Caenorhabditis elegans: one gene and its partner. The protein of the gene in region 2 interacts with the protein of the main gene of each other region in a biochemical or structural test. Each region holds a gene or a part of one and is shown on either strand. Other genes may lie near its edges.

Region 1 (3,691 bases), on a different chromosome or scaffold from region 2:
CAAGTTAGCGTCTTATTACCCTATTTGGATTACATTTTCCGTATACGATCCATCAAATGGCGAATCGAAGCGGAAATTCAGATCTTCTGCAGACACGCAGAGTACGCCTACGTTCAAACTTCCGTCAAAGCAATCTCAAAGCAAAAAATCTCCAAAAAAAGTGATCTCATAATGAGCATCATAGTAAATATACAAATTAGGAAATGTCTATGAGGTGCTTCTTCTTGAACAAATTTTTGCTAAATCTAAATGTATAGTTTAAAAACGGTTTATCCATAATCATATTTAGTATCTACCACAAGATTAGCTTCGCACGTACATTACCTGTTCGATGGTCATCTAGTTTTCAATTAATAAAGAATACGCTTGAAATGTGTTATTATTGGCTTTTCAGGGGAGATTGAGAAGACTCAAAATGTCATTTAATAATAGAAAATTAAATGAATCAGCAATGAATACAATACGGCTTCTGACTTTTTAGCATTGGTTGGAGGAACTAATAAGCCTTCAAGCTACACGGTTAGGAACGTAAAATTTTAGTAATAATTCAGGTTTCCAGAATTCCAGTCTGTCGAGGTCAAAAAGAAGATTGTTCAAGCGACAAATTTATTCAGAACATGAACTTACTTTTTTCGGTTAATACAGGTAAAGAGATTTGAGAAGCCAAATCCTCATTTACTAACGGTGGCTCATTTACTTTGACGCTCATTTACTAATGTTTTCACTTCCGCTCGTTTACTATCGAACGGCTCATTTACTAATTTACTAAGATTTACTCATTTCCTAGAACTAAATTACTTTTTAACAAGAGGTGGCTCTAAATTTGGTGATTTTTTTTCAAAGTGAAACTCCTATCTTTTCTCAATAGTAAGTAAAATTAAAAATGTGTCCAAACCCTAGGAATATGAAATTTTATTTCAACTAGGTTACCAAGAGACTTTTGACTTTGAAATTCTATTCATTTAAACGTTGAAGTGAAGTGTTAAACGAATGTACCACGCACTTTTTGGTAATTTACCAAAACAGGGCAGTATGAATAAAATCTTGCATGCAAGACTGATATAGGAAATACGGTAAATTACTATGATCCTTTTTCTTATATTTTTGATAAAGCGAAAATGCCAAACTCAGCTTGGGCTCCTACATTCATTTTAACACTCAACTTCAACCTTTAAATTAATAGAATTTCGAATTCAAAAGTGTCTTTGTAACCTAATTGAACTGAATTTTCATATATCGTTTGAGGTCTAAATACAAAAATTATTTTCTCTCACCGAAGTACTTATATATATATATATATCGACTCGTGAGTTTCAACAGTTCGTCTCTTTAAAATGTTCCCCGGTTTTCTGGAACCAAAAAGACCAAAAAATAAATTACAACACTGATTCAACAAATAAACAAAGAAGAACAAAAAACCTTCCGTTCATTCAATTTTTATTATTTTATGAAAGATCAACAGAATATTTCAAGAAAAATTTCCGTTTTGTTCCGTTTGAAATCAAAATTTGATTTCTTTTTGGTTTTTTTGAAAAATTCGCTTTTTTGTTTTTTGTTTTTTGGGCGGAAATTATTTTTTGCAACAGCCCTGTTCCCTGTTTAGCTAAAAGTATTATTTCTAGACCTACTTTGATAATCGTCTTCCGCGCAAGCGGAAATGGCTGGCGCATCTCTCGTGTTACTTGCGCATTTTCTTTTCAAAGTGCGAAAATTTGATTTTTCTTCCAGAATTTTCTAATTTTTGCTGATTTTGTGACTCTCAGATTATTTTCACCGGAAATATGTTTTGCCATTTTCGTATTTCAATGGTTCTCCTGCCGCCAATCGTTCCTTATTTAAACTGCGTTCGTTTTTATTGCTTCTTTAATTCCTTTTAACCTTCAAACAAATTGTCTTAATTTAGCTTCAGTTTTTTAAATTTTATATTTTAACAGGATAATCTTCGAACAATGGCCGATGACGGACCAATTATTGAGGAAATTGCCGAGAAGAATGGGAGGGTGGCAAGGATCATGCAACGTCTCCAACATGACACACAAAGGTAATTATTTTTGTTTTCGTGCTACAAATTAATGTATGGTGTTTCAGAGTCACTTCAGTGCCGGGCTTCAACACAAGCGCCACAGGATACGCTGACCTTATCGCTCTTCTGGATCAGTATAAGAACGACCTTGAGGCTGTTGGATTCAACGACTTAGAGCAAGCTCGAAGAAGAGCTCCTTCTGTGGATATTACGGTTAGTTTCAAATTTGTGTGAGAAATTTCAAACAACATAATATTTGTTTCAGGTCGGCAGTAATTCAACTAATCTTGTCGATTACTCCCACGGCCGTCATGATATGCCCTCACACCGTCGACACGATAGCTCCGATGAAGAAATCACGGCAGCCAACAGTCACCATCAGTCACCAATAAATGTGGGGAATCGTAATGACACGGATGGTACAAATGGCAGAAATGGAAGTAGAGCTGGTTCATCGAGCTCCGATCGCGTGCGGATGATAGCCGGAAGGAACAGAATCTCGAAAACGAGACGTTATAGACCGGGCCAGAAGGCATTGGAAGAGATTCGCAAATACCAAGAATCTGAAGACCTTCTGATTCCAAAGGTATATATTTTTTACTACATTCCACATTTAAACAATTCCAAATTTCAGGCTCCGTTCGCACGCCTCGTCCGCGAAATTATGCAGACTTCCACTCCATTTTCCTCAGACCTTCGCATTCGTTCTGACGCCATCAATGCTCTTCAGGAAGCATCGGAAGCACTGTTGGTCCAAATGTTCGATGGTTCATCACTCATTTCCGCCCATTCCAAACGTGCCACACTGACGACTACAGACGTGCAGCTTTACCGCCGTCTTTGCCTTCCAAATCTCTGATTAAAAAATTTGCAATACTAATCACTAACTGTAAATTGTTTATTTATTTATATTGTAAAAATTTATTGCATGAAAATGAATTTATTGTATTTAATCACTTGTTCGAGTATGAATAGCTCGAAGCTTATGATAGACTCCTTCGCAGCATCTTTGCACAATGTCTGACAGAATCTGTTTGGCCCAGTGATAAATTGCCCTGAAATTGAAACCTCTTGTTAAAAAGGAATTTAGTTCTAGAAAATGAGTAAATCTTAGGCGAAAATTCTTAATTTTTTTGGAAAGTTGTAGTTTTGCAATCAATTTGAATGTAGGACTTTTCAGATTTTTTTAAAATTTAAATTATTACTTGCACCTTGTTTTCAAGCGACGTTTTTTTCTACGCCCTCGTAAGATATCAGCTTCCTGATTATAAAAAATAAAGATGAATTATTGAAAACTTGAAAACTTTGAAACTCAAGCCTTACATTTGCATCAAACTAAAACTAGAAGAAACGAGTTTTGACTAAAAACACGTTTATAGGTGCCCGCAAAAAGCAAAATGAGATTGTAAGAGGGAAAGCCAAGAAAAGAAATGCAATAGATTGGAAAGGAGAAATAATTTCAAAGTAATACGAAATATAAACATAGAAATGCAATAATTTATCCATCGATTGGAAACTAAATGTCATCATCTTCTTCATCCTCATCTGATTCTCCATTATCCGTCAAGTCACGTCCACTATCCATAGCTTCTTGAACAAGAACATCATACTGAACATCATTCATGTTCATTACTCCCATATCTTCCCGATATCGTTCTCGACGTCTCT
Region 2 (7,971 bases):
GGAAATTGCTGGGAAAATCGTAAATTCGAACGTTTTCAATTAGTTTCAGCATTTTTGGGCACGTTTGTCAGATTTTCTGCAGTTTTTTATGATTTTTAAGCCGAAATTGATTTAAAAATATTTATTCAAAAATAATATTTTTCGACCTAAAAATCTTCAAATACAATGGAAAACATAACAAAAAAGACGAAAATTGCTTGAAACTAATTGAAAACGTTTGAATAATAATAATAAATACCTAACGAGACCCAACTGTGGCCGTGAAGCGCGTTTGCATATCGAGCGTAATAAAAATTGCGCTTAAGATCAGCTCAAATTCAAATTTTCAGTGAAAAATTGCACCCAAGAAGGTCTTTTCGCGTGTGGAGACGAGAATTGTGTCCCAAAATCGTTGGCGTGTAACGGGCGGCCCAATTGCCCGTACGGACGTGACGAACGTGTCTGCTCCGTCGGTCAGGACACGATTTTCAGCTTTTTGGCAAGCGGATTTGCTCCGCTTGTTTCGATTATTCTTATTGTGCTCATTGTGGTCTCACTCATTTGTTTCTACACTATACGCAAAAATAATTGTGGTAGGTGGCCCCGCGGATGGCTTTTCTCAATTTAAAGTGCCATATTTCCAGCTCTTCCTCCGATCCTCTGATGTCACTGAAAGCTGGTCCAAAATGAATAAATCATTCAATCATTTATTTTACACGATAATAATAAAACTTAGTTGACTAGTAGTGTCAAAGAATACAATAAGAAACCCGGGAGATAAGCACCTGTGCAAAATAAAATAACGATCCTTAAGATCCTTCGGGTCAGATTATATTACAAATTTCGGGATCTTGATGGAGTTCGGGCACTTGAGCGAGTTGTTCTAGTCGTCGGTGTTGCTGGAATAGGTGGTGCAACCAGCGGTTTCAGCTGCCGCGTTGTCGACCGTTTCGGAGCTTCATCATCTTCCTCTTGGAACGTTTTCACCTGACGAGGTGTCTTCAGAACTCTGCTTGGCATCCTTGCTCGGCTTGGAGACTTGTTCTCATTATTTGAGAAAATTGGAGTCATTGGAACAGACTTCGATGTAACAAATTCTTGTTTCGGTGTCTTCGGCACAGTTTCCATTCGCATCGAAGTTCGGGCTGAAGTCTTCGGAGTCTGCGGCAAGTTTCTCTGATCCTTTTCCACGAATGGCGTCGTTTGCTTTGCAACAACTGGCAATCCATACATCACCACAGCGGCACCGGTCAAATATTTCAGTCTGGCTTTTGATCTGGCCTCGTGCATAGCCTCCGATAGCTGACGAAGCTTGTCGATTCCGGTGAGCGATTTGGAATCTTCGAAACAATCATCGATCATTCGAATCAAGAAACGATCGATTTCACCATCAGTGACAGTCCATAAGCATCCAACGATCAGTGGACACTTTGCCATCGCGTAGTCCAGAATCGCCGTTTTTCCATCAAAACCGAGAGCTTGTGGAATTGTTCGGACACTAAAATAAAGGCAAAATTAGTTGAAAATCAATCAAAATAAATTATATTAACCTTCCACAACCCATCAGCAAACTGATCGCATTACACGTCGACTGCTTGAGCACAGATCGTGGCATAACCGAAGATCCAGAGCCATGTCCAATAAAGCTGGAAATTTTTTTTGTTGATATTCAATCCAGCTCAATCTCAGAACTTACAAAAACGCATCGCGTTGAGACAACGCGGCGCTAATCTCATTCGATTTTGGCGCCGAGCCAACAGTTCCTTCCCAATTGAACTTATTGATATATTCGACCATTCGTTTTTGTGTTTCGCCCAAATTGTTGTCAGGATCGAGAATGTAGTAGGCGTTTTGTACGTCGATTTGTAGAGGAATCTGAAGTTAAGAAATAATTTTTTTTTCAATAAAAACTTATATGGAAAGTATTTCAGCTGGTAATGCGTATTGCGCAGCATTGTTGATGCGCAAAATATCTCGTAGGGAAAACTACAGTAACTCTTCGAATGGCTACTGTAGCGCTTGTGTCGATTTACGGGATCTCGATTTTTGAAATGAATTTATTTTCGAAACCAAAAATCTAGAAAACAAATCGACACAAGCGCTACAGTAATCATTTAAAGAATTACTGTAGCTTTCCCTACGAGATATTTTGCGCATCAAATAGGTTGCGAAATACGCATTTTCAGAATTTTTGTGTATTCTGGTAATATTTTCCATTCAAGATCATACCTGTTTCTCCTGACTTTTCATTGCTTCCAACTGACTAAAAGTCGAGTGAATCGATACTTGACGTCCCACATATGGATACTCATCGAAAATCGGCAATCGCTCCCAACAGAATTGAGAAAGATGGGGACAGATGACAAGGTACGTGTACTTCTTTTCCGTAACAATCGAATCATCCTGATTCATTACTTCAACCGAATTCCTGTGCATCAGCGGCAGGAACGATTTGAACTTCTCATCGGTAGTTCTCATCTCACAGAATCGAAGAATCAGCGCTTCCCAGGATTTCGCATCCATCAACTTTGACTGATATACCATCTCCTTGGCCTCTCCCAGAAGGAGTCCTCCTTTCGACAACTTGTGGATTTTAATTGCAAGTTCTGCCGCTTTCGGGCCCAACTGTCCAGACGGCATCAGAAGACTCGCCGCAACACCTAGGAAATGCTTCTGAACCTCGTCAACAAACGTCATCATTCTACCATCCACAATTTTCCGTCGTTTCCAAAACTCTTCTGGTGTAATGTCTCCGGGATACTTTGCTATCATCTCGTCTTCATCCAACAAAAACGTGAATTTATCCATCAATTCGACGGCTTGAGAGTAGTGTGCCAGTGGCATGATGATCGGATCACGATCCGCGTGCAGTTTCACCAAATAAATCGTCTTATCATCGGCCATCGCAATCTGTACAAGCGTCATCTCGTCTGGCATCGACTGTACACACGTTTTGAAGCGATCATGTCCCGACATTGTCACCAATCCTCTCTTGCACTTCTCAAGTCGGCTCTGTACAGCGTTACGAGCTCCGATCTGTGTTGACTCGGCCCATGCGTACGCAGCCTCCCAAGGATCACGTGATGTTCTTCCGACGTAGGCGAACAAGCGGCAACGCCATTCTCTGGAAAATTTTTGAAATATATATTCATTTTTTAATTCTAAATTTCAAACCTGTATAGAATATGGCCGTAGTGGTTCATCTCGTTCCGCATGGCAAGCCGAACCTTCTCGAAGCGTTCCTTATCGAAAGGCTGAAGATTCTTCTCCAGTTTCTCAACTTTCGGACGACGTCCGAACGGAGAAACCGCGCGAAGAATGTCGACGGCACAATCGATCGTTGCCTTGACACGTGGTTTCCGGATCGTTGGCCGCATCCAGCTATAGTTGCATTCCATGGGAAACTCGAGTTGTCGTCCAAGTTGTGTCACTGCGAGAATCATATCGGTTGTTCGTTGTTGAAGATATCTCACGATCTGAAAGATGAAATTTCGATTTTCCCATTTTCCAAATCAAATATTTTATACCTTCAACGCGTTGTTGAAAATCTCCATCGTATCCTCGTCAGCACTTTCTTTCGAATCCAACTTTTTCGTCAGCCACCGGATCACACACATGCCGAAAATCTCGTTTTGAATGATATTCGGTCTCTGCAATAAGTTTGTATTTTATTGTTTTTGAATTTCCAGAGCAACCCACCGGCCTCACACTCGAGTCCCGATGCATCAGAACCTGACTAGACATTCCACGCTCTCTGATTCTCGCGAACTCGTCGTTGAAATGTTTGATGGAGAGTTGCGAGAAATCCGAGTGAATTGCGTAGGACATCATGTATTCGGCGGCGAATGAGCTATGCAGCGGGTAAATCGTGCAGACATTGCAGACGCAGGATCGGGTGATCGGATGGAATGATTGTTCATCGAGTCTGGAAGAGTTAATTGAATAATTTTATATTATGGGAGCGGCTTTCGTGTGATGTCTCAGAAAAATCGCTCGGTAGAATTTGATTTTTAGAAAAGCGGCTTTTTCAACACTTTTAAGCAATTCAGGTCATTCTAATGAAGGGTGTCGGTTTTTCGATTTTTTCAGAAAATCGAAAAACGAAAATTTTTCGATTTTTTCAGAAAATCGAAAAACGAAAATTTTTCGATTTTTTGATTTTTCAAAAATTAGCTTTATATTTTGGCTATTATTCTTCTTTTTAGAAGAAACTTGTATGTTTTTTTTCTAATAAATATATGCAAAAAAAATCATAGGTATTTTATGGTTAATTTTCTGAACATATTTTTGCGATTTTTCGATTTTCCAGGGAATCGAAAAATCGAAAATTTTCGTTTTTCGATTTTTCGATTTTCACTGAAAAGTATCGAAAAATGGCACCCTTGATTCTAATTCAATTGAGCCGCGACGCGACACGCAAAGCGCCGTAAATCTACCCCGGCCGGGGCCGAGTCCAAATGGCTTAATTCGGAAAATTCTTACATTTAAAAATTTGGGGAAGCCTGAAGCGCGTGATTCAGCTCGATAAAATCGAGGGGAAATTGATACGTTATTTTTAAGAATGTGGAAAACAGTTAAGCCTATTTTTTCTTGCGCGCCGTCTCTGTAGGGTCAAATTCTATTCTGAATCTAAATATTCCAGCAATCCAATTCTCACAATTCGAGATCTCCCAACAGATCAGCCAGATCAGGTCTCATCGTGTTCTGTTTCTCCGATACACTACTCCCTGCCATCGGTGTATGAGCTCTCGAAGTGGCTCCCGTCTCCTTCGGAGTGCTACACCGAACAATTATCGGATTAGACGACAGCAAATTAACACACGATACTCTCATTAATTTCGCGTTCTTCTCACTTCCGGCTTCTTCGATGATACTCGAATAGTAGGCTAATGTGTTGGTTGTCTGAAGAACTCGAAAGAATGAAGCCGATTTTAATGCGACACGAAGATTCAGAATCATTGCCGACATCGAATCACGAGTTTGGGCGGTGGTGACGTTGACGAGAGCACACTCCCGACGCATCTCAAAGTGCCAAGCGATTGTACTGCCAATGTGCACTGAAAATGTAGAAATTGTGTTTGAAATTATATATTTTTTTTTTCAACAATTTATACCATAATAATTGCTATCTTCTTGATGCCCGTCTAGAAATGGCCAAATTGATGCATTAACCGAGTTGTCGAATTGAGAGCTGGCGAGGCCAGGAATTCGATTACGCACAAGTGAATCACTTTTTAATGCTGCTTCTTGAATATGGGACACACGATCCGGGAACTGAAATAATTATAAAATATATTTTAGAACACAAAACCATCGCTTCATACCTCACACTCCCTGAGTGCGGATCCAACGGGAACATTGCTCAACGTTGAGCACAACCAAGAGACATAAGAAGCCAACTCGTATCTCGAAAATGAGCGAGTAGGATCCGATTTGACTTTATCGCGAAGCTTCATCAGCTTTTCGAGCATTTCCACGCGATACTCTGACTTTTTCAGGTAGTTCATCGCGAATTCGGTAGCCGAGAACATGTCTTTCGAGCTTTTATCCATTTTCCACGTCTTCAGCTTCTTCTCAATTAGCTCGGTCTCGCCGAGAAACATCAACCATCGAAGAGCAGCTTCCTTGGCCAGAGTGTCGTCTGATAGGTCGATGTAGTCGAGCAGGCACACGACTGCTCTGCACAGTTCTCCGTTGTAAAAGTAGAAAAAGCAGAGTTTCGCGGGAATACTCGCGAAAATCTCTCGATCTTTGCTCCGACACTCCATCGCCTCCTTTCGTAGAGTTTGCCACGTGATGAACATTTTGCATGCGGTTCGTTGATACTTCGCAAGTCCTTGAAAGTATTCGGACGAGGCGTAGTATGAGGTGATTCGAGCCAATTTGCTCAGCGAGTTCATGTCAATCGGTCCATTGACGCCGAATTCGGCGATAAAAAGCTCGGAAATCTCCTGTTGCAACTCGGCAGTTTGTTCGGCAAACCCGATCACCGTGCAGCTCACATTTTTGCGTAGCTCATCTAGTTTTTCGATGTGCTGCTTGTCAACTGACTTGTTTGTGATCTTCATGAAAGTTTATCTAGAAAAATTAAAATTAAACTGTTTTAATGGAATTAACATTATTACATACATAAAAAGCAAGTTTTTTGATTGATTTTCATTAAAAATCGAGGAAAAATTGAAAATGAAAGGGTTTCAACGCACGTTATCTTCTAAAAAATTTAAAAAATTTTCTTCTAGATGATACGCTTCACATACGCGACGCGTAACATTGGAGCAACGTTGTCACTTTTTCTTAAAAATCTCTTATAAGAGTTGGCACGGTGCCAGATCCGGAATTCCACCAGATCTTGAATTAAAATAAGTTTTTTTGCAAGTTTTAGCAAGTTGAAGCAAGTTTTTTTATTGATTTTCACCGGAAATCGAGGAAAATTGAAAATGAAACGATTTTCGAGGCAAAAATAAAAAATTTCCCTCCGATTTTGAAGTCCGTGAATGCGCGTGCGGTGCAACTGCGTACAAAACACCAAACTTTACGACAGTGCGGTAAATTCTACTTTTCAAAGTTTGAGCCCCAAAATTCGTTTAATTTTTGTTTAAAACTTTTCTTGTTTATTGAATTATTTACATTTTTTCAGTCGACATGCCGCGTATCAAGCAAGCGCCGACAAAGAGACACTCGTTTAAGCGAATGGAATCGAGAGAAGCCGACGAGGTTCTTAATAACGATCCAAAAAATGAATTTAGAAAAAAAAACCAACAACTTTTTTCCAGAGTTTTCTCGACGAGGAAGAAATCGAACGAATAAAGGAGGAACTTCAACGAGTGCAAAACGAGAAAAAGAAGCACATTCAGAGAATGCAAGCTCGACTCGAACAAAGTAGGCATTTTCCTGAATTTTTTCCCCTCACAAAAAACATTTATTGTCATTAAAGTAGTGAGAATTCTTCGGGAGAATGATTTCAAGTCGCATCAGAAGGGAATTTTGACTTCGGTGAAGTTTCGAGGAGCAATTGCCGGATATACGACGAATTGAAGCTCGTCTCCTGTAAAATAGAGATTTTTGATTGAACAGACTCAAAATGTGCTCAAATTAACAAATTTCGTTCATTTTAGCCCATTTCGAGGTTATAAACATGAAATTCTCACTTGGCAACGCCTTCTTCGAGTTGTATTCCATTTGATCGCATTCAATGGCAGTTTCCATGTCGATTGAATCTCCCGTAACAGCTGAAAAGCAAGTATAAATGTCAATTTCTGTCGGGAAAAAAATCCACTCACAATTTCCCGCTTTCGCCGGAGTCCCATACTGCGAGTTTTCGTTAACCTCCGAACGACTGCTAGCCATATCTTTTGCACTGATCAACTTGTTGCCCTTATCCACATTCAACGTATCCTGCTGCTGTTCACCGGAACTGTTATCCTTCACCTTCTTCTGCTCATCAACCTCTCCAGCAACTTCCGACTCGGCTTTCGCTGACTTTGCTGGAATCGCAGTTTTCATCGAATCGGCAGACAACTCATTCTCCTTATTTTCCTTTTCCTTTTTCTCCTTCTCTTCCTTCTCTTTTTCCTCTTTCTCAGCTTTTGCCATTCTTTCCATCTCGTCGTCTTCCCATTCATATGGATCCAGAAAGTTGATCTTCAGTCTGGTGATAGCCGCCATCAGCTGAAAAATTTCTTAATTGTTAATCGGATTCTATTTCGAGAAAAACGCTACCAGATTATAAATCTTCTCATAGTTCGGGCGATCTGCGTAGCTCAGAGTTCTCAGGTACTCGAAGATTGATTTGAGCTCGTCGGGGAGATCCTGTAAATGTGCAAAATGTTCAAAATGCCGAAAAATGCATTTTCTTGTGAGTACCATTTTTGATGGTTCATTCCGGGTTTCACGTCTCATTTTGCTTTGATCTACGAAAAATGCGGGAGAAGAGACGCAGACATCTCAACTGATTTCGCAGGGTTGCTGACGTCACATTTTTCTGGGAACAAT

The links.
Region 1: of the proteins of sep-1 (region 2) and cpar-1, one has a biochemical effect on the other in vitro, tested with the Caenorhabditis elegans proteins (one study listed by BioGRID).

Annotation. Positions count from the first base shown.
Region 1 is NC_003281.10:9,432,125-9,435,815, forward strand, and holds cpar-1 (Histone H3-like centromeric protein cpar-1), read left to right. Parts: upstream 1-1,932; 5' UTR 1,933-1,949; coding exon 1,950-2,041; intron 2,042-2,088; coding exon 2,089-2,236; intron 2,237-2,288; coding exon 2,289-2,609; intron 2,610-2,657; coding exon 2,658-2,882; 3' UTR 2,883-2,976; downstream 2,977-3,691. Other genes in the region: emb-30 (Abnormal embryogenesis protein 30), read right to left, coding at 3,540-3,691. UniProt on the Caenorhabditis elegans protein: Histone H3-like variant which exclusively replaces conventional H3 in the nucleosome core of centromeric chromatin at the inner plate of the kinetochore.
Region 2 is NC_003279.8:3,432,487-3,440,457, forward strand, and holds sep-1 (Separin homolog sep-1), read right to left. Parts: upstream 6,058-7,971; 5' UTR 6,048-6,057; coding exon 5,304-6,047; intron 5,254-5,303; coding exon 5,094-5,253; intron 5,037-5,093; coding exon 4,637-5,036; intron 3,905-4,636; coding exon 3,679-3,904; intron 3,630-3,678; coding exon 3,507-3,629; intron 3,456-3,506; coding exon 3,154-3,455; intron 3,104-3,153; coding exon 2,209-3,103; intron 1,855-2,208; coding exon 1,676-1,854; intron 1,626-1,675; coding exon 1,530-1,625; intron 1,478-1,529; coding exon 814-1,477; 3' UTR 672-813; downstream 1-671. Other genes in the region: neto-1 (CUB domain-containing protein), read left to right, coding at 330-572, 624-643; nefr-1 (Protein kinase domain-containing protein), read left to right, coding at 6,622-6,693, 6,753-6,858; Y47G6A.13 (non-specific serine/threonine protein kinase), read right to left, coding at 6,951-7,024, 7,128-7,208, 7,260-7,647, 7,699-7,788. UniProt on the Caenorhabditis elegans protein: Cysteine protease, which plays a central role in homologous chromosome separation during meiosis I and in sister chromatid separation during embryonic mitosis.